Linked DNA regions of Schizosaccharomyces pombe. The protein of the gene in region 2 purifies or fractionates together with the protein of the main gene of each other region. This does not show direct contact. Each region holds a gene or a part of one and is shown on either strand. Other genes may lie near its edges. The genes, in order: tel1, tti2, rvb2 and asa1.

Region 1 (9,046 bases), on a different chromosome or scaffold from region 2:
TTACTAAAAATAGAGAAAAAAGAAAAGAGTTAAGTATTTCGAACCCTATAGTAATTTAAGTCTTGGGAAAATACCTTTTTTCATTTAATTCCATTATTTCTAATTTCCTTTGATATTTCTTCTTTTACGGTGAAAAGAATACCCTTTGCAATCTAAACTGTTAATAGTTTATTCAAAACCAACATTCGTTAATTTTATCGATACAAAACCACGATGAAAGATTCGGAACATCACCATCATGGCCACAACGGCTTTAGTAAGTTTCTCCATAAACTTGGTTTTGGCAAGTCAAAAGGAAAATCGCATAAAAGCAATACCAGCAGTATTCATGAAAGAGAAAATACTGCTGCCAAAGGACCCGCCTCTAATGTGCGTCCTGCTCGCCCTAATGTTAGCACATCTTCCACTTCGAACGAGGTCAGAAAATCTGTACCTGTTGGTAATCCTACTGTACATACCAAAACAGGGTCTTCTTCATCTCCTGCCTCAAAGATGAGAAATACAGTCAACTTGCAGCATATTCAAGCAGCTAACCAAAAAACTCGTAATGCTGAAGGTGAAAGAAAGGTCGCTCAACGCAGGGTCCAATCTGATAAAGCTGAAGCTAATGATGCAGCCATGAGTAGTTCAGCTCCAACGGTAGATGTTTCCGAAGGTAATTCTGCCGCTGAACCAAAAATTACACCCGATGATTCAGATACACCCAGACTTAATGTAGATATGAATGATAAAATAAATGTCGATGAAGCTGCTGCTAAATCTGATAGCAAACTTAATGTCGATCAGATTAATTCTACTACGGAATCTGAAAAAAGAGTTGAGAAAGTTAATCCAAATATTGCGAATAATCCGCTAAAATCACCGGATGCAGTAGCATATAGCAGTGAGACGGTTTCTGATGAAAAACAACCTACTGAGCATCCTGTATCTGCTAATGTCCCTGCAAAATCTGAAAAAGCTGTTTGTGATGAAAATACCAAAATTTCGCTTACAAACACAGAGCATTACAAGTTTCATTCACTTCGCGGAGACGTTGAAGTTGTTGTTGGTGATTTGGAACGTGACGGAAGAGATACCTCTTTAGGCGATGCTTCGGTAAATGAAGCCGCTAAAGAAACTGACGTCGACTCTAGTCGTTTTATTTCAGATGAAAAAGCCGTGACTGAGGATGCGATGAAAACTGAACATGCCTCCAATGCCCCTCTCACTGATGAAAGGCATTTTCAGTTCCATTCTTCTGAAGGAGACATTGAAGGAATCGTTGGGACAATGCAGCGCCAAAGACAATCTGTCTCTTCGTATGACACTATCGTTCCTAGCCAATTCTATAAACAGAAGGTGGTGCAAAATAGCCCCCCAAGCTTGTTGAGCACTGATAACAAAATTCCAGAATCCGGCTCAGATCATCCCTCAAGTCAAGATAATTCCAGTAAAGCATCCTTGGTAGAAAACTCTCAGACACAATCATCTACTCCGAGAAAGCCGTTGCCAACTACCACTAGTCCTAAAGTAAATCCGGAACCGCATAGCGAAAGTATATCTGACACACGACCTTCTACTCCTAGAAAAGTGCCACCAAGTACAGTTCCTAAAATGAACCCGAAGCTCCAGGGTGGCAATAGCGTTACAGCCCCTTCCACCCCTAGTAAAGTGTTGCCAGCGATGAGTCCCAAGGTGGCTCCCAAATTCCAAGGTGGACGCAGCAGTACAGCGCCCTCTACTCCTAATAAGGTATTACCAGCAGCATCTGCTAAAGCTGCTCCAAAGCTTCAAGAAAAAGCTGCATCATTTGACATTCCTAATAAATCTACTATTATCTCTACTAAGTCAACGGTAGCATCGCCAATTAAAGCAAATGAGAACAGTCCTGCCTTGAAGTCTAAAGCATCTTTTGAGTTCCCTAAGGAATTAGATCCTGATGGTACTTGGAATGCACCAATTCCTTATCCTGATGCAAATTGTCCTATGGCTCCCACTTATCGGAATTTGACTTCTGAACAAGAAGAAATGTATGAAGAAGTACTTAAATATTGTTTGGAATTAAAAGAGATTCCTGTAGCGTCTAATTCTAGCAAGAAAACGGATTTGATTGAGTTGGAGCGTCTTTGGCTAACACGCGAATGCATCCTTAGATATTTGCGTGCTACTAAATGGCACGTTTCCAATGCAAAAAAGCGTATTGTTGATACTTTGGTATGGCGTCGTCACTTCGGTGTTAATAATATGGATCCTGATGAAATCCAAGAGGAGAATGCAACTGGTAAGCAAGTATTGCTAGGTTACGACAAGGACGGTCGTCCCTGTTTATACCTATATCCAGCTAGGCAAAACACTAAAACCTCACCACTGCAGATTCGGCATCTGGTTTTTTCATTGGAGTGTGCTATTGATCTTATGCCTCCAGGAGTAGAGACATTGGCTTTGTTGATTAATTTCAAGTCTTCGTCCAATCGTTCAAATCCCAGCGTTGGTCAAGGTAAAGAGGTACTGAATATTTTGCAAACTCATTATTGTGAGCGTCTTGGAAGAGCACTTGTTATTAATATTCCTTGGGCTGTATGGGGTTTTTTTAAATTGATATCTCCATTTATTGACCCTATTACACGAGAGAAGTTAAAGTTCAATGAACCGTTGGATCGTTATGTCCCTAAGGATCAATTAGATTCGAATTTTGGTGGATCTCTTCATTTTGAATATCATCATGAGAAGTACTGGCCCCAGTTGGTGGAATTGTGCAAGTCACGTCGTCTTGGCATCTTGGAAAAATGGAGGAAGATGGGATCTAAAATAGGTACAAGCGAATGGGATTTGAAGGGTGGAGAGGAATATGTTGAATTAATGCAACAGTATGTACGTCCTTCATTGACAAATCGTTCATCTTCTCCAACTGTTACTCCAACTGTAAATACTGATAGACAGCCAAAGACTTTAACCAATAGTGCTGATGAGCTCTCTCCTCAAAAAAGACGAGTTGAGAATCCTAAGCCCGTTGTCAAAGATGAGGGGCCTGTTTCTATCGTTGAAGATGAGGAATCGACGCCTGTTGTTACAAAAAAGGAGGACTCTATTCCTGTTGCTCAATCCACCAAAGCTGATGCTGGGCTCGATGCCGAGAATGATCTTCTTCCCAAATCTGGTTCCGGTGTTTCAGAAACACCAGCTTTTTCGCATGCACGAGATGTTTCTACGGCTTCATTTAGCGACGCTGTTTCGTTTATCACCGCGGATAGCATAGAATAGTTTTTCTTAAGCTCTCGAAACCTCTTCACTCTTTTCTCTTATACTTTATTCGCAATTGAGCTAGTTCTATGATTTCTTTTTTTACAGCCTTGAAAACTTTTAATAGAGGGCTTTTGAATAATTCGGTGCTGAAAAAAGAAAATCCACTATTACTGTACATATTTAGCTAACAGTAGAGTCATTGATATTTCCAAAGAAGATCATTTGTTTTAATTCCTTTTTTCTTATATAGTTGATAGTTTCGTGCTTTTTAGTTTCAATAAGAAGAATTACCACACTTCAATTTATAACTTGGCATCTGTAAAATTCGTACACGCTAAATGAACCTTCCAAATTCCAAAAGTTGGAGACGCGTAACCTTTTACTCAATTATCAGTTTACGCCAAATATGTTAATATATTAATGAAGAAAAGATAACTTTTACTCGATGTAATACTATGACTTCTCTAAATGACATCGTTAATAAGTTGTCTTCATCAAAAATCAAAACACGATCAGATGCTCTACAAAATCTTCGCAGCTACATAATTTACTCCAGAAATGGAAATTCGCTAAATCAGGAAGATGCTTTAATAATCGAAAAGGCCATAAAGCGAGCATTCGAACTTGAATGGCAAATTTCTGCTAATCATGGTAAACGTCAAATTTCCAAAGCTTCCCAAGAGCAGAAGCTTCAAGATATTAGCTATTTGTTAAGAACATGTGTTGAATCTTATATTTTATTATTTAGGGAGCCTCATATTTTAGCGCTTCTAGATATAATTCTAAGACATACTTTCACAGCTAATGGTTCTATATGTGAGGTAGTCTGTTTGAATTTTTCTAAGGCTCTTCGGCTACTATTATCCCATTCTCCTCATTTGCATCATCTTCGTTTCTCGGATTGGCAATCACTAGTTTCCTATTGTTGTCAAGCTATTGAAAAACTAAGTATAGCTGAAGAAACTTATGTTAGTGATAGTGAAGAAGAGCCAATAAGCCAAAAAAACTATCAAGAAATATCTATCTGGAAATCGCACGATGTTATAAGAGTAAAGCAAGAAGTCGTTGAGCTCATTTACGTTATGCGTTCTCTTGTTCAATGGTATGCGGCTCCAATTAATTTTGTTAGTGAGCAACTGCTGAAATTTTTTGAGTTCTTTTTTTATGCTTACACGGAAGAAACAGATGCGCATCTACCAGCTTTGCAGTGTTTGTTTCAGTTATGTGCATATGCGATCCCCAATTGTAATGATTATTCCGCAAGCGTTGTTTTATTAGTCTTTAAGATTCTTATAAACTCTGATAAATGGAAGCGTCTGGATTTAAGATTGCAGCTTATACAATGCTTAGCCATTTCTTATCCACTTTGGTCCAATTCAGAAACATGGGATCCCCATCGTTCCATTAGATCTTTTAATTTAGATCTTCTTAACTCTTCGTTTTTTTCTTTAAAAAATTTCTTAAATTTTTTTGGAAAACGCTCCTCATTATCGCTTGCGAATTTTAGATTCCATACAGTTGAGCCTAAGAACAACATTGCAAAACTTTACGATCCACGGCTACACCTTTTTTTTTCTCTTAGACATAATTCTTTCTTTGAATCTTACTTTATTTATTTTTTTCTTGCAAAACTAATTCTCCTCAAAAAAACCGTGTTGTCCTTAGCAAGCACGGAGCAAGCCAACAAAAAGCAGAAAACATGTTCTCAAATAGAGGAACTGCTTTTGCAAGCTGAGCTAGCCAATATCTCGGCTTCCTCTTTTTCATTGCAACTCATGGTAATTATCACTGCTATTTCTGACAATCTAACAAACGATGATCTATTGTCAATTCAAAAAATGAGTCTTAACTTTACTGAGAAAAAAAATGAACTTCAAAGCTGGTCTTTTTTTATATTGTTCAACATTTGTTACAACAAAGCTTACTCTTCGATGCTTACGACTTCATGTAAAAAGGAAATTTTGGCTGCTGCTTCTCGTGGTCTCCTGAATTCTGTTACGTCTCCTGTATGCTATCAAATTTTAACTTATTTTAACATGTATCGGCCTTTGTGCTTCGCGAGCATTTTTCCTTTCATAAAGCAACAGTTTATTTTATTTAATGATTACTCGCCAATGCTTTCATATGAAGCCATTGATTACTGGAAATCTCTGTACATATTACTTAATGAAAACCTATTTGTTGGTCAAAGCTCTTTTAAATCTGTGTTTCTAAAATGGTTGAAGTGGCATCTATATCATTTGTTCAGCAAAGAGGGTGAACTACCATTTTTCTCATTTACCGATTCTTCTATTATCATTTTTGATTTGTTAATGATGATCTTCTATAGACCGTTGTCATTATCTTATATCACCACAGAAATACGATCACCTTTCGAACGTAATTTGTTTCACCTCAAAGAAGCATGGTCGCCTGTTACGCTTCGTTTTCCTTATACTACTGACGAAATATGTAAACAGTCTACAGAAGGATGCTATCCTTTCAATAGTAACCATACTATTGACTGTGATAGTTTGCAAAATGTCATTAAAATGTTGGAGAGCTCGATAGACGAAATTAGCTCAGCATCTTATGACAAAGATGAGCTTGACAAGGAAACCCCAAGCTTCGAAGCAGTTATGATATTTTCTCAGATATCATTTTTATGTGGCTTTCTAAATTGTTTTATCCAGAAAAAAGGTATTCATAATGTTACTCCTAACAATCTTGTCATTTTTAAAAATTTATTCCCTGAAGTCCTTTCTTTCGTTAAGTCTAATCACAGTTATGACCCAATAATAAATTGCATCTCTACTAATTTGCAGTTTACTATTTCTGATGAGCCAAAACATCTTCGGTATGAAATTGGAAGCGACTTAATTCGTTCAACTCATTTTCGAGACAGTAATCCGCTCAAAACCTTGGTTCTTTATATAATGGATATGGCTTCTAAAAACGTATTCATAAAGCCTCAAGAATTTGATCACGATGAGTATTTCTCCCAGGAGGAAGAAGATATTTATCGGCCAGAAAATTTAATCAGGAATCATCAAATACTTGGTTTGATGGAAGGATCGCTTGAGCAAATACGGAATACTGATCTTTTTATTTTACAAAAATATATCGACTACTTTTCTAGTCATCCTCATGACAGCTTAATTAATATTCTTCATTTGTATCCCATTGAAACTTTTTGTTTTGGTATGTCTGCAATTGGTGCATATTTCCTAGATGTTGCGCGGACATCCGAACCTATTTTCTACAAATGTCTTGAAATACTGGCTCAAAAAATTTTAATGAATTATGATTATGAAAGAGACGAAGTCTATCTAATGATTTTTATTAAAATATTTCAAAAATGTGTTCATTCTAAACTTCAGTTCACGGACGCAACTTTGAAACTTATTGTGAAGATTACAAAATTCATTGAAAAGGTTTTTATTGAGACTAAATTTTCATCATTATCTGGTAGACAAACTTTTTTAAAATTTATATTTCAGTTATCCCCTACATCTCACGTTTATTCAAAATTCGATTATCAAAAATTGATTTCTTTAACTCTTAAAGACTCTGATGTTTGTGTTATTTATAACTTTGTTGACGATTTGGTGATTTTTCTTAAAAAATGTGATAAAACGTTAATTGAAGGTTTTGTTCTCCCAATTTTAAGCATTAAAATTGAGAAGTCATTGTATAAAGGCTTCTGCTATTTATATTTGACTTTAAAGGTTTTTTTGTCAATAAGTTCCAATCGATCAGCATTGTTGTATCAGCTGCTTAAGCTTGCAAACAGCTATGAAACGTCAACTATTTTTGAACCTTTGCTTCGTAAGCTTCACATTCAGAGTGCAAATATTAAGCAACTGTTTCGAATATACAGGTTAGAGATATTTTGGTCATTCGTCAGCAAAGATCTTTCTAATACAACCAATGACTTTCTAGAATTCCCCTACAAACCAATTTATTTCAGCCTTTCCGATTTTTTAAAAGAAAACAGCGACGAAATTATACTTGTTCTTATTCTGACTAAGAATATAACCTTGGCTAAACTCATTACTTCACGCATGTCTGTTGATTTTTCTGAAAAGTATACGCAATTGATCCCTGTTATAACAACTTATACTCATCTAAGTGAAGTAGAGAATAAAAAGTATTCGTTGAGATTTAATTCTATTGATGAAGCACTTGATGTGGAATTACTCAACCGCTCCAAAGCTTTTTTGTTCTGCTTAGAGATGCTTAAAGAGGTTAAAGAATTAGGCTCTACTTTTAAATCTATAAGCTCAACTTCGTTTAAGGTGTACTCACAATTAACAATTTTTGCCAATCGCGTCTCTTTTAACAATAGCACAGCGATACCATTCTTTTCTACAAAATCTGTGTTATGGTATTGCAATAGACTCTTCCAAGAATTAGAGGGCTTCTCCTCTATCCCTTCAGTCATTGATTTAGTTTTAAGGAGACTTGCAATACAACTACACTTTGCGACGGATGAAGAACTTCAAGTTACTATTTCTTTTAGATTGTGTGCTTTTCTATGTTTCTCTGATCCTTTTATCACTTCAAACTATTTGGTAATGATAGTACTTAGGATAGCTAGACAATTACTCTCAATACCTTGTACCCAATCACTAGGATTAGGAATTGCGCGCTTTCATTTGAAAAAATTCAAACCTACTGATTTTGATTATTTCTTTCAACTAGCCGAATTCTGTATGGACTTTTTGGGTTTTTGCTACAACACTATTGGTACGAAGATGGAGGCTATCCAAGATTTTTATACTTGGTTTGATGGTTACGTTACTGCTTTACTAAATTTTGAGTATGAAGGTTATGGATTTTTACGCTGTCAAATAAACTTTGTACGTTCAGTGATGACAACCAAAAATGAATGGATAGAGGTTTCAAATAAACTGTTCGAAAGAGGTCACTTTCTTAAGAGAATCGCAATGAATAATTATCTTTGTCTCTACTTTTGGCAAGTCCTCGATGCTTGTCCCAGAAATGTTTTACACTCCTTAAGCCTTGAAATTTGGAAATGTTACAAAGCATACGATATTACTGAATTTCCTGACTCTTTGAAGCTCTTTTTTTCAGACATCATGGGCTGGAATTTTTTCAAATCTCCGGAAATTGCTGATCTCAATCATTATATACCCAAAACCGATCCTCGATTATGCGATACTAAAACTTATGAAGAATCAAAACTTATTATTTGGAAATTGATATGTCAAAAAGCATGTTCTCTTTTATTTAAATATGACATTTTATTAGATTCATTCATTGAGGATTGCATTAGGATGTTCTTTGAAAATGGTAATCACCAAGAGCTTAGAAAATTTTTAAATTTTCCAAAAGATAGTATCATCTACGATAGTGATTTCAAGACTCTTGTTTCTGAGGAAGGTTCTTTTCAATGGGTAAAATTACAACCCACAAATTTTGATTCTTTGTCAAATTGGACTAAGGAAGAGACGCTGAAATTATTAAATATGATGGGAAAATCATCAACAACACATTCTCTAAAATTGCTGAGTACTTACATGGTGGGGTTTTCAACTTCAATTATTCAATATATTATACATTTGATTCTGTTGGAGTTTGATTTTAATGGTAACAACAAAAAGCAAAAGGAGTATGTAACACAACTGATCTTATCTGGTTTGTTAAATAAAAATACAAATAGTATTCGAAAGACTTGCATGAATATTTTATTATACCTTCGTCGGCAATTAGGGCATCATGCTCTTAATCCATTTGAAGCAAACTACTGGGTTCCCATTAATTACAGTGTTGCAGCATCAACTGCTTATGATTGCCATTTGTATGAACAGAGTCTACTTTT
Region 2 (8,276 bases):
TGACTAAAAATTTAAGAAAATTTCCAATTCCAGAATGGAGATCATCATTAGAAGTTCAGGCCGAATCCGAACAATCGTGTTTGCCTCTTTATCCTTTACTGCCTGTAGAAGAAGTGGAAGGGATGAAAAAGTTTGTTCAAACAATGTTGTATGATAGTATATATCCTTTTATGCAAAGATGCGTACGGGCCTGGGAAGAAGATCTGACCCCTCAATACGGTAATTTAACTACCAGGCTTCTATTTGCCTCCAAAAAATACTGGTCTCGTAATCATTCAAGCCATTCTCAAGGTAACTATGATCCACTATCCCTTATTTATTCTTCAGAAAAGCAGGAAAGCATAAAAAGAAAAATGGCGGATTTTTCTTTTATGCTTCGTGATTACAAACGTGCTTATGAAATTTATGATGAGATTCGGAATACATTTTCTCAAGACAAAGCCTGGAATTATTTAGCGTCTTGCGAGGAAATCCAAATAATATGTCTGTTAATGCAAAATCGGAATATCAGCTTGAAGTCGCAAATTTCGTATTTGAACAAATGGTTCGACGAAATGGTTTATATCTATGCTGTTCGTCTTCACTCTTTTTACTATACATTTAGAAGTGTGCTAGTTACAAGCTTGTTGCTCTCGTTGAAGCCTGCGTTTAGTATCGACTTTGCAGCATCCTGGCTTGCAAAGATATTGGAACCAGGCCCTATTTCCCTCAATCCGTTTGAAACTTCTTTCTTAAATACGACAATAGCTGGAATGTATAGTAATAAGGAACATGTTGGTGTTACTGATGGAAATCGCCGCAGAAAAGCTGCTTTTTGGTTTGCATATAGCGCTGGCTTTTGGCGGGACTGTGGCCATTGTAAAATGGCAGAGATTTGCTGGAATCTTGCTAATCGTGTGTATTCAAAATCAGGATGGGAATCGCTTTCTGAACATATGCTGGACTTAAAACCAACGCTTTCCGAAAACTTTCGGGTGAAAAATACTTTTCATTAGACAACTCATCCTGTCATCTGGGCAATCTTTGGTACAAGATCTGCTTATGTAGGTGCTAAACTTTCGATTTTGGTTATGAGCTTATTAATTCAAGCGCGATTAATGCGAAGTTGAAAAATTATATTACCGCTTACAGTATCATATTTATATTCAATTAGCTAGTTAATGACTTTAGAAATTAAAACTTCATTTTTTTTTTGTTCACGTTTTTTGAAATGTTGCTTTAGAATTTAGACTGATGTCAATAATTATTTTAAAATAAAAAGTATATATAAAAAATAACTGTGAAATTCAAAGAGTAGAGGTGTAAGCTATAATTTTGAAAGATTTGAAAAAGGAATAGGAGCTGGCATAAAGGAGCTTAGGATTTCCAATTTAAAATGTAGCATTAGCATTATAATTTATTATATCAAAATTATAATTTAGTATCATACTCAATATAACATATATTAGATATATGCGATTTTACATTAGTCAACTTCATACGAAATTGCTGATGTTATTATAACTTGTCTATCTTATCAGTTTTAGAATAAATTGTTCATTGTCTGAATTTTTGAAAACAAATCATCAGCACCTTATTAGAACTCCAAATTTAGCAATTTGTAACATTACAAAAGTACAAGTGACAAGTCACCTCATACCATTAATTCTGTTTGAAAACTGTATATAGTAAACCACGCAGGTAGCTTCAGGAATATACGACAGAATGGGAAAAAAGGAGAAAGTCAATGCTTTGGAATTTTCTGTTAATAAAGGAATTTTTACAAAAACTCGTTTAAAAAGCCTGTATTCTGACTTTACGAGTCTGTTTATAAAAAATCCTGAAGGATTTTTGGCAAACGTAAATACTTGGAGAGAAGCAATTGAAACATCCGCATGGTCTGGGAAGTTGAATTCTAGGATAATCTTAGTTTTCGATGAGACTTTTGAAAGTGCGTTTTCAAGTCCTGCTTTAGGTAGACCTTTGAGCCTTGGTGCTGTTGCGGTACGTGAATTAAGCATTTTTTTTGAAGCTAATAAGCATATAGGCTTACTGGATCCAGCAAGGGGTTTGGCTTCGTAAGCAAGACTTTTTGAACGATTGTAAAAAAGGAAATTTAGTAAGAGAAGACGGTTTTTCTATTTTTTCAATTCTACGGTGGAGTTTTCAGAAACTTGGGTTTCAAAATCAAGCCTCATCCATATTGTCAAATAGATCCCCGAGTGGGCAGTATGTAATTCGAAAAAATATTGAGAAACTTGCTTGCCTTGTACACAATGAAGCAATGCGACGGTGCAGCAGCTATACGAGTGCAATTTATACTTGGGACTTTTTTCAAGATACTTTTGGAAGCTTATACTGGGAAGAAGGAAAATTAAACAAGGATGAGATGGAATGCCTTCTTAATTGGATGTGCTATCAAAAACATGTTTTAATATTTGATTCTAAGGTAAGTTCAGATTATATGTTTTCTCAGCTATTTGTCGATACCGTTTTTTTAACGAGAATAGATAATCAAGTTTTTACCCAACAGCCAAATTGATGCTCAATTAGCTTCAATTGATAAGTCTATTGATGGGTCTGTTGCAGATCTGATACAGGCTAGGGCATCCATCGCCCAAAGATCAGAATTTTTAAACGAGGAATTGGAGCAACTTTCACAAGTGCTAAACCAAGCAGTTAAAAAGGGAGAGAAAACAATAGCAATAACTTATTTACGTCGAAAAAAGATTTTGTCTAAAGATTTGGAAAGGAAAGTTTCTTCGCGTCTGCAATTAGATACTATAATTTCTAATATTGATAATGCGGTTGACAACAAAATTTTGCTTATTGCAATGTCTTCTGGCTCTGAAGCTCTAGACGCAATTTTAGCTCAAATGGGTGGAACTGAAAAAGTGGAAGATGTCTTAGAAAACGTAAATGATACACTGGCTCGTTCGGAAGAGATTGATGCAACTATTCAAACTTACAATCCTCAAAACATTGATTTAGAGGATGAAGCCGTTGAAAAAGAATGGCAGGATTTGGTAGCTGAAGAACAGAAGGTTGAAGATATCGTGTCTACATTAGGCAATGTTTCTCTAAAAACACCATCTGATACTTTTACCCTTACTAATACTGACTCGGATAAAAAGACTTCGAAACCGGAGAAGATTCAAGCTGAGCTGGTTGAGCAATAATTTATATACGTCCTTTTTTAACGATCACTTAAATTCACGGGAAATGGTTTGGTTTACTAATAATTTATGCACATACTAAAGAATAAATGAATACTATAAAAACATTTTTCTTGGTAATAACTATAAAAAACAATAATGCTTATATACTCAATAGAACTTATATAGCTAAAGCGATAAGGTAAAGTACCTGTGTAATGAATTGATGTTAGTTACTAAAAATTTTGCTTTTTATACCTTTAAAAACTAGTAAATTGTTAATTTATTAAATTGATTTCTTGGCAACGACTTAGAAACTTACAGTATATCACATACTCTATAAGTTTATATTATTAGTGTATGACCATAGCTTAACATGAAATACTTTTTTCATAGAATTTAAGTTCTCTAATAACTAAGTGACATTACAATTCTGTTAATATTCTTTGTTTACAAATCAAACAAATAATAAAACATTAGACTTAATAATTATCTAATAGAAGTTTAAATTGGCAATATCTATGCAATATTACAAAGAGCTAGCTAGGCGATTGCATACTCTACAATCAAAAAATGAAAAAGAAGCTCTTGAAAAAGTACCGTTTTTAATTCACTATTTTCAAATTTTAACCAAATATAGCAAATAGACTTTTTGGACAAATTGGTGGTAGAGGTGGACTCGTTGGTTCATGAACAAGATTTGAGGCCATTATTAGAGTTCATTAGCCCTACTGAAAGTTGGTTTTTACTGGGTACGGCGACAATTTTTTATATTAAATTATTAACTCATCCAGACCCTGAATCGATTGATGTAGTGATTAAAGAAGCGTATGTTGTGCGCGCTCACCGGATATTAAGCATTTTTCAAGAACAGTTTATAGAAAATGTTGTTAAAGAGATCAATTGGGAAATCCTAGCTATTTTAATATCATTAAGTGGAATCGAGAATGGACTTGTACGCAATTTGTCAGAATTCCTCTCAACTTCAATCCTCAGCGCTGTTCCTAGACAAAAATTCTTATTATATCTTCTAGAAAAGTATCAAATAAATCTTTTTCATAGAGAAGAACGGTTGACAGATCAAGGTAGACCGGTTGCATTTGAATTACCACCAGACAAATTTCACAGTGATCAAAGTAAAGCACTTCTTGAGCCAAAGTGGAAAACAAAAAATTATCTCATTTCTCACCTTATTTTTTGGATAATTGATCAGCAAAGTTCTTCTAGCATTGAAGTATGTTGGCACAGAATCATTCCATCTGTACTCCGAATATTGAATGATTTATCTCCAAACATTAAACTACAAGGAATTGAGCTAGTCAACAGATTGTTAAAAATTACGGAAAGAGAATTTCTTTTATATACTGGAATTCTAAAAATTTTGAAGGACGATTTGCTCGTATTCTATACTTTCATACCGCCAAGATTTACAATTCAAACGAGTGTTACCCTTATAAATGCCTCCTTCGCAACCCTAGTTTCTCTTTATCCTGAAGAAAATGAAAATTTAAATTCTATTATGCTGAACGGTATTAATTCTGTGTTTCAGTTTGCATTCGATTATCCCCTGATTCTTCAAGCCGCATTTTCTCAAATTATGGTTTTAACTGACAAAATGAATGTTAGTTATTTACCATACCTAACGGTAATAATTTAAATTCGTTACATTTGAAAGTTTACTAATCGCACTTAGTTGACTCTGGATGAACTGTGTCGTATAATACAAAACCCACAAATCATACAGATACCATCGACACTCTCCTTTTTTTTAGAAATATTAACAAAACTATTGGAAATTTACAGTTATCGAATATCTGCACACCATGTTGAGTTATTAATGGCACTAGTGGTTTGCAGTAGAAATTATATGCGATGTAACTTACAAGAGCATCACAATGCAATTGTACAAGCGCTTCAAAACCTCTTCACTTTGATAAAATTGAACATAACTGTTGAGCAACTCGGTGATTACAATGTAATATTGCCACTGCTTGAACCCCTGCAAATCCCACTTTGAGGTACATATAAGGAAAGACTCTCCTCATTACTAACCAACCTTCAACCTAGATAAATTGGTAACAATGGTTATTCGAAAAACGATGGAAAATGGAGAATAAAGGAAATATGGAGCTGTCAAATTCTTATGGTTTTTATAAAAATGGTCGTAGGGTTTCATTCGTAAAAGCCACTAGTGAACAATCGTTGGACGAAGCCACTTTTATTGAAAAAGGATCGGCACAAGCATTTTATCATTCGTTATTTGAAAATGATAGGGATAATTCGCATACTATGAACAGCAAGAGGGACGAAGCTGGTTTTGCTTGTGAAGTGTGTCAAATATACATTCCAAATAGCAAAAAAATTAATCATTTTAAATCAATGACTCACCTTCTTTCTTCACAACATATTTCAAACAAATTTCAACCCCATTTATTAAAACCAAAAAGCCTTGGTTATCGAGTTCTTTCTCAGTATGGTTGGTCTCCCCAAGGAGATACTGCTGGATTGGGTTTGGAAAATCAGGGTCGTCGTGCCCCGGTTAGAGCATTTCGTGTAAAAAATGATACGATTGGACTCGGTACCAAGATTGATTTGGAGAAAGTTGCAGTAAATAAATGTCGCAAAGGCAAGCGTCAGTGCCAAATCCAACACTCAAAGGATGTACGCCTTAAAGAAGCTTTAATTAAACATTTTTCGTCTAATTGAGTTTATCCTTCTTGCATATGTCCAAACGTCATTAACAATTTTAAGTGTGCTAAATTTGTCCCATTGAATGTACATATTTTATAGTGTTTAGTCGATTGGTTATAAATCTATAGTGTTCAGTTAAAACACAATTGGATGTTTTTTTTTCATGAGGTTTTGTTGTGGAAACACATTAATTAAGGATAGCATCACCCTCTTTTCTTATGAAATATTTTTTCTTTTAGTCTTTGTAACATGGAGGGCTGCCTGTTTTGAAATTTTGATTGTTGAGGTACAAACCGCCGAGTAAGCAAATTAAATATACCCCCAAATGTAAGCGCTATAACTGTTGAAGTAAATATGATTACGTTATACGGCATACTAAAATCTGGTGTAGGAATGAACATTAGAAGCGCAGCAGTTCGTAGGCTACAAAGCTTGGTATTGTTTTCATCAAACACGCTGATTATTGCTGGAGGAAGATTGTAACCACGATTTGCATCGGGAGGATATTCGTCTAGGCGTAAGGGTGTTTTTTCTACATTAAAATGAACAATCAGATTTGTATGTGGAGGTATTGAAAACTGGATTTCCATCATCGTGCCTGCCTTGCGATCTCTTAACGGTTGATAATACAATTTTTCAATAAAATCTTTAGTATTAATACGTGTTCCATTCAAAGTGATAGTTAAAGTATGTAAGTACACGCGCACGAACCAAGGAAATTTTTCAAAATAAACAATAGTTCGAGGAGAAGATGAGGGATTGTAAATTGTAGAAGACAAACTTCCCCAATGGTTGCCATCGTTCGAAAGGGAACGATCAACAGTGACTGTATGATTATCGGAAGTAGATTGAATAGGGATTTGAATATTTGCAGCTTCGTCTAAACTAAAAGTGTCAATTTTATCGCCATTTGAAACAAAAACGTCAGAAAAAGTTGAGGAAAGTAGACATCTTTCCTTAGGCACTTTATGAAAAAGATCATCCACGGTATGATGTTCGGTTGAATAACCAGACATTAGACAATGCAGAGAATCCATATCCTCATCATGGCAATATTCAGAAGGAGGTTGAAAAGTTGTTTTGCCCTTTCTCCTTCCGTTCCTTTCTACATCTACCACCGCTTGAATTATAATGCCCATCTTGACTGAAGCAAGAGACTGATTTTCTGAAGGATAAACATCTATGGAAAAGGAGTGCCAATCCGTATCAAAAAACAAATGGCTATCCAATAGACTGGCAATTCCTGCTTTTCTCTTACAAGGGAGAAGCTTGAAAAGCGGAGATAAGTTTTCAGTACAGACATCTTCTTGAGGGAGCGAAGCAAAATATTGAGTGTTATTGGAAAACGAAAAGGAGCCTGGATATGAAAGTTGTGGTTGATAAGTGTTGGAACTATCAATATAATTTAGTGAAGCACAAAGTAAGCCAGAAAGTTGGTTAGTCAATTTCAACCAATACTTCATGCTGGGATCATTCGCCATGAAAGCCCAAACTTCAAAACCCAATCCACCCGAATAAAAACCATTGTCGGGAGACTCTTTCCAATTTTCATAGTCCCATCGACCACGGGTTGCTCGAATATGTAGCTCTGAAACCTGACATTCGTCCATTACTCGGGCTATAGATAAAGGAAACAAAGAGAAGCTTGATTCGGAGAATACTGAAGAATGTGTACTGTCAGTTGATGCACCGATTTCAAATGCGAATGAAACATATGAGTAGCGACTTGAAAAGCTCTTTATGAATAGAGATTCATCATAAGTCTCGTCTATAGTTGCTGCCGTTAATGAAAAGGAAAGCAAGCTGTAAGCAAATAATAATAAACATCCGTTTTTTTTCATATCTAACAAAGAAACCTGACAATTTAAAAGTATTTGAGTATAATAAATGAAAATTAGAAAACTAATGCGATACGATGTATTGTGACCAAATGAGAACCTAACAATTGATTTTCTTTCGAATAGAAGGATCTTTTAAGAGAAATAGGAAACAGTTAATGGACAAACTGATCTCGATGTGAATTTAAGTAGTACTTTTCGAAGTTATTCGTGAATCAGATTTAACTTTCATGAGTACAATCACAGTACCAGATAAAAGTTATTGCAGCGTTCACTTAATAAAAAAAATGCAAGAATGGTAATTAAACAAAAAGCCAGTACACAATTGTCGAATGAAATAGAATATCTCAGTAGGTTATGGGATGTTAAAGGCGAATTCCAAAAAGAACTTGCTTTTTCAAATTCACTGATTTAAGACTTTATAACAAAAAGATCTTTTTTATAAATCCTAACTGATTAGTGAAATTAATATAAGATAATATGCTTGCTGGTGAATATTGAATCAAAACTTGCTACTGAAGTGATAGTAGCATTCAACCCTACGCTTAGAACTTGATCTTCACCAACAACCCAGTAACCTACTTTATACTTCTTTATGCGCCAGCGAGTATAC
Region 3 (5,336 bases), 2.4 Mb from region 2:
GATGAACTGCTTATAACCTTTCCAGGCACACATCATAGTGCATTTTGTCTAGGAGACGCTGTTTTACGACGTTTTGTCTTTCGTTCACCAAGATCTGCTTCCAACTATGAATTTTCTAATTTACGAAGACTTATGGTTTCAGAATCCCTTTATTCCTCTAAATCTTTATGGCCACATTCGCATAAGCCTCAACGTGCTTGTTCTCAAAAGTTCCTGGATGAGTTTTACTTGCATGATTTACCCGAATCCAACATCCATGATAGTGGTAACTTTCATCCGATTCATTCAAGTGTTGATAATAATTCATTTTCTCAACGAGATTTTGACTCACCTAACTCTATTAATCCTCCATCTCCTTTAATGTCTAATCATGAGAGTGCATCTACTGAACACTTTAATTCTACTACAACTACCGAAAAGGAATTATCTTCCCTTCACGTGGGTGAAGAGCGCAAAAACCGATCGCTTCCTTTGTCACTGATTTGGAATTCTAAGGCACGTGAAGAGTATATAAAAAAACAGAAAGAAGAAAACGGTGATAACATAGAGTTTTCTCATTTTGATCCTTTATATACTCGTCCATCATCACATCCTTTGCATCCGCCTCCTATTTTAGGGCTTCCTGTTCCTGCACAGTTCGCTCGTGGAGAATTGTTTTTGGGGAGGATTCTCGAAGACAGGGTTAGTGAGCATATGTTGCTCCTCGAATGTGAAAAATCGGATGTAGTTGAGGTACCATATGAATGTATATTAACATCTTCTTCTGCTGCTGGTCGGCGGGAGAGTTCATATTATAATCCAGCCCTTAAAGCTCCTAATATCGTTTATGATGACGGTGTTCCTATTAACTGGAATGAATATTCAGAATTACCTTCACTTGATCGCTTCGTTTTACCCAAGTTGTTACCAGGAAAACCCATAGAATTCACTCCACCAATTTCAGTTGAACCAACCTCGATAAAGACTATTGCTGCTGAAGAATCTTCTGAACCGACTTCATCTGTTGACGTGGCACCAACTCCGGTAGAAGACGTCAACGTGAATTTAGAGTCGATCAGCAATACTAACGAATCTGTTGTTGACTTATCTGATCCTCTTGTAAGTAAAAATGGATTTGAAGATGTTGAACGGAGCTCGGTAGCAGATTTGGAAGAAGACGTTCTTGAAACTCGCTCCAGCATTTTTGAGACTTCTGACATTGACGATCGTTTAACAGTGATTGATCGTTCACAATCAGTTGTGCCTTCAGAATCTGAATTTTCTATTGCTGGCGCAAACCTTACTCGTCGAAACGCAGTGGATTTCTCAGTTTCACTAGATACGTATGAGCTTTATGTGAGTGATGAAGTCGAAAATGTCGATGATTTTTCTCTCTTTCCTTCCTTAGAATAAGGATATAAGAATTTGCATGTAAATGCATTTTTGCTGCATTATTGTATTTATGATTTAGTCGTTCGTTTTAAAAGTTTTTTGAATAATATTAAAAATTTACAATGTTTCAATCATATCGGTGACTAAATTAATTTTCAGCTTCGACATTGATTAGTGTAGCCATTAACCATGATAAAATACGCGCTACCTTTTTTAGTAACGCAGAATACTTGTATGACAAATGTGATTGTTTTTTGTAAAGAAGTTATTAAAGATACATTTAAGAACCAGTTTTAGTCAAAAATATTAATTATTTATCCTCAGTTTCTTACATAAGGAAAGTTAGCGATGGTTCATATGCTCTCAACCGCAACGCAAGGTAATGATTGCTATGTGAGAATGACTGTGCAGTCTTGAATAAAAAACCAAACACAACATAATCATGTCGATTTCGGTGACTTCTCATAATGATGTCTCCAAATTAGAAAGAAGTATGTTTTTAAAATAGAAATAGACCTCTAGCATATTTTGAAATTGGGGGGACTCAAATGCTTTAAAATTGAGTGAGTTAACTAATCTTTACTGTTTTTAGTCGGAGCACACTCCCATATTAAGGGAATAGGTCTCAATGATAATTTAGAGCCGAAGGAGTCAAGCCAAGGAATGGTAGGGCAAGTCAAGGCTCGCAGGGCTGCCGGTGTAATTCTCAAAATGATACAAGAAGGCAGGATAGCTGGAAGAGCCATATTGATGGCTGGACCCCCTTCAACTGGTAAAACTGCTATTGCAATGGGAATGGCTCAATCTTTAGGTAGTGACACACCATTTGTAACACTTTCTGCAAGTGAAGTGTACTCTTTGGAAATGTCGAAAACAGAAGCCCTGTTGCAAGCCTTGCGAAAAAGCATAGGTGTCCGTATTAAGGAGGAGACAGAAATTATTGAAGGAGAGGTTGTGGAAGTTCAAATTGATCGGTCTATTACTGGCGGTAATAAGCAAGGCAAGCTTACAATTCGCAGTACCGACATGGAAACGGTTTATGATTTAGGAACAAAGATGATTGATTCCCTCACAAAAGAAAAGGTTTTAGCTGGTGATGTTATTAGTATTGATAAGTCAGTGGGAAGAGTTACTAAGCTCGGTCGTTCATTCTCGAGGGCAAGGGATTATGATGCTATGGGAGCTGACACTCGGTTTGTTCAATGTCCTCAAGGAGAAATTCAAAAACGAAAGGAGGTAGTCCATACCGTCTCCTTACATGACATTGATGTTATTAATTCACGTACACAAGGATTCTTAGCTTTGTTCTCAGGTGATACTGGTGAGATTAAACCAGAAGTACGTGAACAAATTAACACCAAAGTTAGTGAGTGGAGAGAAGAAGGAAAAGCCGAAATAGTCCCTGGTGTACTTTTCGTTGATGAAGTTCATATGCTAGATATTGAGTGCTTTTCTTTTTTCAATCGCGCATTGGAAGATGACCTAGCTCCTATCGTTATTATGGCTTCTAATCGAGGAATTACTCGTATTCGAGGTACAAATTATCGTTCCCCTCATGGCATTCCAGTTGATTTGTTAGATCGTATGCTGATTATTTCTACATTGCCCTATTCCCATGAAGAGGTAAAAGAAATCTTGAAGATTCGCTGTCAAGAAGAAGATGTTGATATGGAGCCTTCAGCTTTAGATTACCTTTCCACTATTGGTCAGGAGACTAGTCTTCGCTACGCATTACTTCTTATATCTTCATCTAATCAGGTTGCTTTGAAGCGCAAAAGTGCTACGATTGAGGAGTCCGATATCCGACGTGTTTACGAATTATTTTTGGATCAAAAAAGAAGTGTTGAATATTTAGAGGAATACGGAAAGAATTACATAACCGAAAATGAGTGGTCGGCTTCAGGTGCACAAGATAATGCAGTTGCAATGCAGGAAGATTAAAAGCACTAAAGACGAATATTTTGTTATAGTTAAGAATATGAAAGTATTAAATAGCAAGTCTTTATAAAGGTTGCAAGACAAGTTTAATTTAGACTTATTTATCGAATTATAGTTTTCCGTTAATTCAAAGGTACAAGCTATAAGTTCTGTTATATAATGAAATAAAATAGTTTATTATCCACTTTGACTATTTCTTTAAAGAAACTACATCGCAAAAGCAGATATTGTTAGGATACATCCATTCATCCATATTTGCTAATTGTATAAATGCTGCATGCTTGGCATCCGTAAAATAACCTTCATTACTCCAAGCCTGTATTTGGCTTGCGGTATAAGGGCCGTACGTCTTATCGTCAAATTCCCACTTAAAGTTGTACTGTGAAGAATTTGAGTCGTCGTAACTAACAGGAGAAGACCATGAATTTGACGTGAGTTTTTGATAAATTCTTTGAAGAGATTCTCTAGTTTCCGAGTATATATCTTCCTTTCCAATTTTATCCTCTAGAAAAGTTAGACCAGCAGTTATAAGTTCTATTAATTTTTTCCGAAAAGCGTCAGCACTTTTCCTTTCAGGAGAAATGCCCTCTGCGGTATTATTTTTCTTTTTCTTATACGATTTTTTGTTACCACTTTGTCTCTGCAAAAATTCTAAAATACTTTCATCTCTCTCCATTCTTGCGATAAAAAACGATAACGCTTCAGGAACCGTGGAAAAAGGCAGTTTACTAAATTCTTCCAATTCTTGATTCCTTCTTCTGTTTTCCATTTCCTTACGCTTCTGCTCCGCTTCTCTGGCTGCTGCAATGCTTTTTTTATTAGAAACACTGCCATTGAGCCATGCATCATACTGAGACTCTGGGTCATAATTTTTTCGTATGAAATTACCATTTTCGTCAAAATCACCCTCCTCCATATCTTCTTTTAAGTTAAAGGACATTCGTTTTGGGCTTGAGGGAACTGATATCTCACTGCCTTCTTCATCCGCGTCGAGGTCGTTAGCCTGATTTGTATCTTCTTGGCCTTCTATATCTTCATATCTTAACTTTGAATACTTTCCGTTATCGTCCTCATCATCAGAATCGTCGTTCAAAACCTCTTTATTTCGCAAACCTTTATGTGCTAATCTTTCAGCATCGCCATTTTCAATGAAATCACGTCGCTTTTGCGCTTCATCATTTGGCAGAGTACGCTTCTCATCTTCCGAAGTATCAGAAAACATATCTTCCGATTGCCCTTCCTTCTTCTCTTTATTCAGAATTTGGTCTTCATCTTCTTCAGATTCAGATTCATAATATCCTGTGAATTGAATGTTAGACAGAAATCAACAAATGAATTTGCATACCCTCTTCTTTTGTCCTAGGACGTTTTCTCCCTACATTGCTTACATCGTATTCAAAAAAAACATCGTGAACATCACCCACTGTACTCGAATTGCCAGGGTTTCTGAGCGTACGCTTCATTGTTCACACAAAATGTAGTTGCAATTGCGAACTCGTTATGAGTGCAAGATTATTAAGTGTTAAATCTGAAACAATAGAAAAAATAAAATGATTATACAAAAATAAATATTACCAAAAAATAATGCACGACGAATAATAATCTCATCCTCATGCTATAGTATTTTTTTTACATGCAGTTATAAAATTACGTAGCTGAAAACATCTCTGTTAAAGAACGTTTAGCAAAATAAAGAGATGAAGCATTATCTACTGACAACGAATAAGTGATTGTGCGTTATACCAGTAGTATATTGATTATTGATTCTTTCTTCAAAATAAAAAACTACTGAAAATTAATCCTGTATGTACAAAACAAACGTGAAATTTTACAATTTCAAAATCATATAATAATATCGCCGTACGTAAGAACGGTATCATCCTGAGAGTGACATTGCATGTGAAACTTGGTATAGATTCGCTGTATAACAGTAAAATAAGACATCAAGCTCTCATTCAATTCAAAAAATTCTATTATGGAGTGACCTTTTTCCATTTAATTTGCATTTTATCTTTAAGATATCTGCA
Region 4 (8,125 bases), on a different chromosome or scaffold from region 2:
TACTTGTTGGATCACCACGAGTGGCTTTAAGACACATTTCTGGCGAGAGATGGGGATTGAAATGTTCTTTGGCTGATCACATTATCTTTGCTATATTGAGCATCCTTGTTTTTATTGTCGAAACAGGTTTGTTATTGAATAAACATTAATTTATATTAACAGTATAGTGGAACCTGGATCAAGCAAAATAAACATTATGGAAAGATTAAGAGGAGACAATGGTAAGGATGAAAAGAGACTATCTTCATTAAAAATTGTTTGCTAATCATCATTAGCTCGTGATGCCACACAGCACGTGAATGAATACACAGCTATTTCGTTACGTGAAATGAACCCTGAAAGTGAAGCCTAATTATATTGCTAACTTTACTAATTGTACGATAAAGGCGCTTTTTACATGAGGCTTCTTTTCTTTATAAGAATGTGCAATAAAGAAGCGCCTTTATGATTGTGATTTACTCAAACAAATCATAAATTTGTTTAGAGTATATCACAATGTACTTTTTATTGCATTATTTATTTCCTGACGAATTGAATGAGCAAGTGCATTGCTTGAAAGATTCTGCGATGTTGGATAACATACACTGGGTATTGAATATTAAAATAATGGTTTTATTTATTCGGAAAATAGCAGTTCACTAATTGACTGTTGTCGTCAACTAATGAAATCGGAAAACTCGCTGTTCCTCCTTGTTGTATTCACAACTTCATTGTCTTTGTTACATTCATTTCTCCTTCATCTTGATCCTTAATGAATCATACTTAATTGTCTTTTTTTACTTTTGTTTAATGGTTTACTTTAATACAAACAAAATTAATGTTTACAAAATAATGAACAGCATAATAAAATATTGTGATTGAAAACGATGGTTTGTTATCGTAATGATTATAGTGACTCATTACAATAGTGAGTATTTAATGTCGTAGTAATGTTAGCTACGCAGTTTGATATCTGTTTTAACGATATTTAGAATTCCGGTGAGTTTTTACTTGCGATCTACAATGTAGCGGTATGCAATATTTAACTAACAATGTATGTTTATTGTTATAAAAAGTCTATTAGTATTGGTCACCGATATAGCTAATAACTGAACTGAGGAACGAGATTCAGTGGTAGCTCTATTTGTAACCTTCTTGATAGCTGATATCAATGTTTATTCATGTATATAGAAGGGCAGTCTATCCGCATTTATCAGTAAACGGATCTTAAGTAATATCTTAACATAGGAAATGTAGTGATACGCAACGTAGTGTATCATAAGTGTGGTATTGCTGACAGTATCTGTGTTAACAATATTTTGGGCTGTGGAGAATTTGACTTGTATTTCGTTATATTGTAATATGTAGCTCCTGCAGGTAGCAAGTATTATAAGTATTCATATACTTAAGCTATAAATTAACTTATAAGATATCTTTAATTGGACTTCGTTCCTCGTGTTCAATTTAAGATCCTTTTAAAATCTTTTTCATAGAATCTACAATGTTTTCTAAATAAACCGATAGTCTTTTGATTTTATCAATAAGAGATTTTAGCTGGTAATTCCAACGTAAAGCGTATAGTGATATACAACGTAATGAATTGTAGCGTATCTTAGAATTGTTGGCATATGTACAATCGTACTTTGACAATATCAATCAATTGATCAATATTGTCTATCACCTTGAAAGCTAATAATGATATATGAAACCAATATATATGTATATATATATATAAACTCTTTCCTCGAGCTGGAACAGGAATCCCCTTGTTCCCTCCTACCTTTATTTCGTTTTCAACCTTCTAACCTCGTTATGGTAATATTCATTTTCTAAATGTACTGCCTAGTTTCTTTCATTTGTGAAGCGCTTATGAGCTCAATATCTTGAAATATATTTTTAAAATACAAAAAACGGAGTTCTTATTAGATCAACATTACAGCACTCATCGTGAATGGTATAGCTTCGGCAGCGTAATATGTTACTCGGGCTACTTCGTCAGCCTCCTTATCCTGTACTACATTAAGTAAACAGCTCACAACAACTTAACTTCTTCACAACACACTTGCTTTTTTTGAGTAATTTCAACTGATTTGCAATTGACATTTCCATTGTTTTGTTTTTCTTTGTTGCATTTTTTCTTTTGCAAAGCTTTATATTTGTATCCATTACTTGAAATCTTGTTGGTTTCTAAATTCCTTTCTTTTTTTCCGAATTCATTTTTTCAAAGACACTACGCGGTTGCTTGAAGCTGAAAGAGTTTGCTAATTGCTTATTTCAATCTGCTTTTTGAATTACTCTTGATTAAAGTACAAGTCTTCACTTTTTTTTTCGTGTGAGCGTGTGTGTAGAATTCTTCTTGTTCTCAATTTTTGTATCATGAGAGTTTCTTGGATTAGCGGTCTCTTATTAGTGGCGCACCTGGCTCCTTCCAGCGCCTTCAACCCTTTAAGGTTTTTCCTGGATGACACCTTTTCAAGCGGTGCTACTGAGGAACATTTTATGGGCCCCTCTGATGATGGTTTTGCGCTTCAGCAGCCCACCAATTATGATCCTTCTATGCCATTTCCTTTAGATGAATCGGCATCAGCCGCTGTGGATGCTGTGTCTAATAATTACATTGTCATGTTTAAACCTTCTGTTGACAAATCGAAGCTTGAGCAACATCATCGTTGGATTGAGCATTTACACGAGAAACGATCCTTAGATTTTAAGGATGTATCTACCTTTTTAATGAAGCATACCTTTGAAATTGGAGACGCTTTTCTTGGTTATGCTGGTCGTTTTTCTCCTTGGTTGGTGGCCGAGTTGCAAAAGCACCCCGACATTGCCCTTGTTGAACCTGACCGTGTTATGCATGTTATGACTGAACAAACTTTTGCACCTTGGGGTTTGGCTCGTGTATCTCATCGTAAAAAACTCGGTTTTTTTACCATGACTCGTTACCAATACAATGAGACTGCCGGTGAAGGTGTTACTGCATACGTTATCGATACTGGTATCAACATTGAGCACCAAGATTTTCAAGGCCGTGCCACTTGGGGTGCCACCATTCCCACTGGAGAAGGCGAAGTGGATGATCATGGTCATGGCACTCACGTTGCTGGTACCATTGCAGGAAAAACCTTTGGTGTATCTAAGAATGCCAAACTTGTTGCCGTTAAGGTAATGCGAGCCGATGGTACTGGTACCGTATCAGATATTATTAAAGGTATCGAGTTTGCCTTTAAGCAATCTAAGAAAGACAAGGAATCAATTGCAAGTGTCGTCAATATGTCCATCGGCGGTGATGCAAGTACTGCTCTTGATCTGGCTGTGAATGCCGCTATTGCCGGTGGACTTTTCTTTGCCGTTGCTGCTGGTAATGATGCAGAGGATGCTTGCGGTACCTCTCCAGCCAGAGTTTCCAATGCAATGACTGTTGGTGCTTCTACTTGGAACGATCAAATTGCTTCTTTTAGCAATATTGGATCTTGCGTTGATATCTTTGCTCCTGGTTCTTTAATTTTGTCTGATTGGATTGGATCTAACAGGGCTTCTATGATCCTTTCTGGTACTTCTATGGCTTCTCCTCATGTCGCCGGTTTGGCTGCTTATTTTATCTCTCTCGATCCTTCGCTGGCTAATCATCCTGTGGAGTTGAAGAAGTATATGCTGAAGTTTGCCCTAAAAGACTTATTAAATGGCATTCCTGAGGACACACCTAATGTCCTTGCCTTCAACAATTATGAGTAAACGCTAGTTATGTGTATGTAAATGTTAGCTTGATGACCTTGATTGTTTATTTTTTGATGCTCCGATACGAATGATCAATTAACCAAGTTGTTGAATATCTACTGTCATCAGACGAACAAGCTCAGAGTAATGACATTTGTTATGTTTAGCAATGAAATCATTTAAAACGATACCAATTTGTTCTTTTAGGACTGATTTTTTTTTGTAATGTCAGGTATAGTAGAATTTTATTTCATTTTCTTATCTACTACTTTTTGCACTATTGTTATCGTTCATTCGTACTAGTAGTAAATATGTAGTTTGACAAGTATGGTATATCACTTGGTAAAAAAAAATGCCTTCTGGATTCACCGTTATAATTTTGTCTTATACCGCTTATTAAAATTGATTCCCTTACCACCAACAATTCGTTTTACAGTTCAATTTGTATTGTTCCCCTATCCTCTCAGCTTGATGATTACAAATATTTGCTCAAAGTGGATGCTTTAATTTAAATTTTCATGGTAGTTCCTACTCCATTTTACGTTTTACGTGGTCATTCTAGCAGTGTCACTAGTGTACTTTTTGACGCTAATGAATACTTATATTCTGGTGATGAGGCAGGTTTTGTAATTTGTTGGTGTCTTACTAGTATGCGACCAAAATGCGCCTGGAGAGCTCATACAAAAACCATATTGGGCATGCAAATAGTCAAGGGAGGAGCCTTATGCACTCACGGTAGAGACTGTCGTCTCGTCACTTGGAAAATCGATTTTAATTGCATGACCGACAATTTTATGTCATTATCAAAACTAGCTGAACTTCAAAATTACGGTCCTGAAGCCTCTTCTGAAACTGAGAAGAGCAGCGCATTTATATCTATTCATTCCAATATCGTTGTTAATTCCCTAACCTTTTGCCCCTTCTCTTACTCTCCTCAATCTAAAATAGTAGTTTTATGCAATACATTGAACTTTGAAGAGCTTGATGTATATGATGATGAATCATTGTATCATCCTCAAACACACAAAGAGGATTGCGGAAAAAGACTACAGACGAGAATTCAGCCAGAAGAGTCTGTTGGTAAAACAGGATCAGTAATGTCAACCTCAGTAACCGTTACTGACGAGAAGTATGTACTATTAGCTGCCGGTTACGAAAGCGGTCATGTGGTTCAGTACATATGTTCATTAGAAAATGTAAAGACTGTTACCCTCGATTTTAAAGCTGTTTGGAAGATGGTTTACGCCTACAAAAGTCATTCTCAACCAGTTTTATCGGTAGAGTACGCTGGTTCCAAATTATTTTCAACGGGTGCTGATGACTGTATATGTCTGCATCCTACTCCTTCATCTATAGCTGATGATCTTGGTAGTCTGCCTCATCCTATATTTAGAAAGACAAAGCATTGTGGACAACAAAATATTCGTATACGAAGTGATAACAAGATATTAGCAACTGCAGGATGGGATGGTCGAGGTCGTGTTTACAGCTGCCAGACATTAGCTCCTTTAGCGGTTTTGAAATATCACTCCGATGGTATTAATAGTTTGGCCTTTCATCCAGGCAGCAACGTGATTGCGTTAGCTAGTAAAGACACCAGAATATCTCTCTGGAAGTTGTATTAGGGCAAAAGTTTAGGACATTACAGTTACGTTTAATCCATCATCATTTTCAAGAAATCATTTACTTTTGGTTTGCAGGATTCAATTCATTCTTATTACAATACGCGCATTTTTATCAATAACCATTGAAATGATTTTAAACGTATTACATATATTAAATATATTAAATATCAGACTAGTAAATGCTTAATCTTCCAGTATTTTGATATCGCCTCAAATAAGATGAGCGATTCATATGCAAGCATAGAAAGTACGAAAGACATAATTCTAACCTGAGCTATATTAAGTAGTGACATTAGTTTTATAACGGCAAAGAGCCATTGTTTATGTATAGTGATGTTTATAGTACAAGGACGTAATTTTGACGGTCAAAATTTTTACAGTTAGTTTGATGTTGCTTGGCAGTTTCAATCTAAATGGAAACCTTTGCAACAGGAATTGTCATTCTCTCCGACTTCCAAAGATTATGATATTCGACGATTCGAGTAGCAACATCGACGAAATCGGTGTTCTCATCGGTATTTTTCATGACTATATCTAAACCGGATTTATAAGACTCTTTCTCAATTTCATCATTTCCTTCGATGTACCTTGATAAATCTTGTATAATTTCATCATCTGTATAAAGGTTAGTCAAAAATCAACAGCACAAATACCATAACCCGTCATTTTAATGTCGCGAAAATGCGACGCCTCGCAATGGTCATCATTACAAACACCACCAGTGGTTTCGTATTTACAGAAAACTTTCATCGGCTCTATCTTATTGCTGTAGGTAAGCGACCGATATTTCAACGGTACTCGCTCAACAAATTGTTGATTAAATCGATAAGATTTAAAGCGGTAAAATGGAGAGATATAATCGACAAGCGGTACCTTATCCTCAAAATCTGTTTCCGTCGTCCCATTTGGCGCGTTTGACGTTTTGGAAGACAAAATCTGTGATGAGTTCTCATCTGCTTGGGCGGAAACCTCGGTTATTGAGTCCATACTTAAATCAGATTCTTTAGGTAAACATGCAACATTTCCTTTCCCTTGTTGTTCGAGTAACTGTTTTTTCCTAGTGTACAATTGTGTTAGAATCTCAGTTTTTGATTTCACCAAAGTTTGATATTTTGTTAGTTCTCCTTCCTCTTTTTCTATTAAGTTATTTAAAATGTCAATCTCGGATTTTTTAATCTGTGCGGGATGCTCTTCATGTACCACAGCAATTTGTTCCGTCTTTCTGAGCCAAGGTGCCTCTAATATCTGCTCAGTTGTATCAGAATTCGTAGTTGCAGCACTAGACGAGGCTCCTGACGAGCTAATAGAAGGTCCAGCCTCCACAAAATCGGCTTTGGAACTAAGATCAACGACTTTTTCAAAGGTATCCAAGTGTGTTTTAGATTTGTTGTCAACCGCAGCTACAGGGACAGATGGAAGTTTCATATCGGCGGCAGAAGTTGGCGATCTATACGGTTTTTTATTAGACTCAAGCCGTAAGATCAACTTTGTCATTCGCCGTATTTCCTCTTCTTTATTGCGAAGAAGCGCCAAGTAATCTGAACGAGACATAGTAAGACCATTTTCACTATTTGAGGGGGGCTTTTCTAAATTAGATTGTTCTATCTTCGAATTCGAAAAGTCATCTCCATCATCATCGGAATCAAATTCAATAACTACATTTGGAGTCGAGGAGCCAAAAGGCTTCGAAGAAGATAGCCAATCGTCCTGCTTCAAAAGTGGTAAAGATATAAGATTTTTTCTTTCAGGAAGGACGGTAGGTGTACCATTATCGCCAGGTAATATATGTGTGTCACTAAGATTACTGTCAATCTTACGAAGTTTAGCAGACCTAGCAGCTTTGTCTGCAGATAGTGTCAGACTTCCTTGGGAGCTAGCAGAAGAGGAATCCAGTCCGAGCTTTAAAAATAAAGTATGAACAACCGAAGGCTCGATGCCCTCAGCAATAAAATCGTTAAAGCGCACTCCTACTTCAAACAACTGACTCACAGCTTTCTCTGCTTCCTTTTGATTAGTAGTCTTGGAATAATTTGCATCAGAATTTTTAGATGTTGAAAGAAAAGGTGATTTTTCTGATTTTGCCTTTTCACTCTTTTGATAAGAAGTGTCGGATGATAAAGCCAATGGTCGGCTAGTAGCGGTATCTTTAAGAGCCCGGTTTTCTTTAAATGACTGGGAAGTATTAGAAGAATCCGATGTTTCAGAAGACTTCGCCTTATTTCGGTTGTTGAATGAATTCTCAGATGACCGTTTGCGCTTCGAAAAGGTTTTGTTTGAGGAGGCGGTTTGAGGAAAGAAAGGAACTGTATTTGGTCCAAACATCAAAGCTGGAGGAAGCATAAAAGGTGCGCCAAATGGAAAAAAATTCGCGTTAGTTCCAGGAAATCTAGTGTGTTAGTTAGATAAGACACCTGATGGGTTGAATGTATTCAAGTTCGAAAAAAAAAAAGGAAATTTTACAAATTGTCATTCTCGTAATCCCAAAGTTGGAGTTAAACCGTACAGAACAGCATAACTAGCGGAGAATAGCTCCGTAGAAAAGATAAATAAGCTGCACTGACAGGTTTAATCAAATGCCATGCTTACCTATCAAAAGGAGGCAACTGAGGAATTTGCTCAGGAAAGGTTGGTACTTTCATTGGCGGAACTAAACTGTTAAAAAAACGAATTCATTTAAACGGTGAGAAAATTGAAAAGATGGATATCAAAACATAATTTCCAAATACATATAAAAGGCTTCTGCCAGCTTTATTTTTCTCTCTTTAAAAAAAAAAAAGCCACGCATATAAATAGAGATATGAAATGTT

Evidence for each region.
Region 1: the proteins of tti2 (region 2) and tel1 purify together in Schizosaccharomyces pombe (affinity purification with mass spectrometry, with the first as the bait; one study listed by BioGRID). This does not show direct contact.
Region 3: the proteins of tti2 (region 2) and rvb2 purify together in Schizosaccharomyces pombe (affinity purification with mass spectrometry, with the first as the bait; one study listed by BioGRID). This does not show direct contact.
Region 4: the proteins of tti2 (region 2) and asa1 purify together in Schizosaccharomyces pombe (affinity purification with mass spectrometry, with the first as the bait; one study listed by BioGRID). This does not show direct contact.

What each region holds. Positions count from the first base shown.
Region 1 is NC_003421.2:1,272,067-1,281,112, reverse strand, and holds the start of tel1 (ATM checkpoint kinase), read left to right. Parts: upstream 1-3,571; 5' UTR 3,572-3,677; coding exon 3,678-9,046. Other genes in the region: pdr16 (sec14 family protein), read left to right, coding at 214-3,240. UniProt on the Schizosaccharomyces pombe protein: Serine/threonine protein kinase which activates checkpoint signaling upon genotoxic stresses such as ionizing radiation (IR), ultraviolet light (UV), or DNA replication stalling, thereby acting as a DNA damage sensor.
Region 2 is NC_003423.3:3,896,392-3,904,667, forward strand, and holds tti2 (protein Tti2), read left to right. Parts: upstream 1-3,544; 5' UTR 3,545-3,655; coding exon 3,656-3,730; exon of another isoform or gene 3,731-3,774; coding exon 3,775-4,779; exon of another isoform or gene 4,780-4,827; coding exon 4,828-5,151; downstream 5,152-8,276. Other genes in the region: trs8501 (TRAPP complex subunit Trs85), read left to right, coding at 1-995; cmp7 (ESCRT III complex subunit), read left to right, coding at 1,705-1,983, 2,027-2,428, 2,490-3,158; SPOM_SPBC1604.16C (G-patch type RNA-binding protein), read left to right, coding at 5,241-5,840; gpi16 (pig-T family GPI synthesis protein), read right to left, coding at 6,029-7,666. UniProt on the Schizosaccharomyces pombe protein: Component of the tel2-tti1-tti2 (TTT) complex that stabilizes protein levels of the phosphatidylinositol 3-kinase-related protein kinase (PIKK) family proteins.
Region 3 is NC_003423.3:1,522,194-1,527,529, forward strand, and holds rvb2 (chaperone, AAA family ATPase Rvb2), read left to right. Parts: upstream 1-1,798; 5' UTR 1,799-1,813; coding exon 1,814-1,862; intron 1,863-1,963; coding exon 1,964-3,312; 3' UTR 3,313-3,499; downstream 3,500-5,336. Other genes in the region: Lid2 complex histone demethylase H3-K36 subunit Jmj3, read left to right, coding at 1-1,392; U5 snRNP complex subunit LIN1, read right to left, coding at 3,500-4,608, 4,655-4,772. UniProt on the Schizosaccharomyces pombe protein: DNA helicase which participates in several chromatin remodeling complexes, including the SWR1 and the INO80 complexes.
Region 4 is NC_003424.3:5,065,485-5,073,609, forward strand, and holds asa1 (ASTRA-associated protein 1 Asa1), read left to right. Parts: upstream 1-4,107; 5' UTR 4,108-4,211; coding exon 4,212-5,318; 3' UTR 5,319-5,514; downstream 5,515-8,125. Other genes in the region: serine protease Psp3, read left to right, coding at 2,356-3,711; protein Red1, read right to left, coding at 5,728-5,933, 5,978-7,704, 7,905-7,965. UniProt on the Schizosaccharomyces pombe protein: Component of the ASTRA complex probably involved in chromatin remodeling.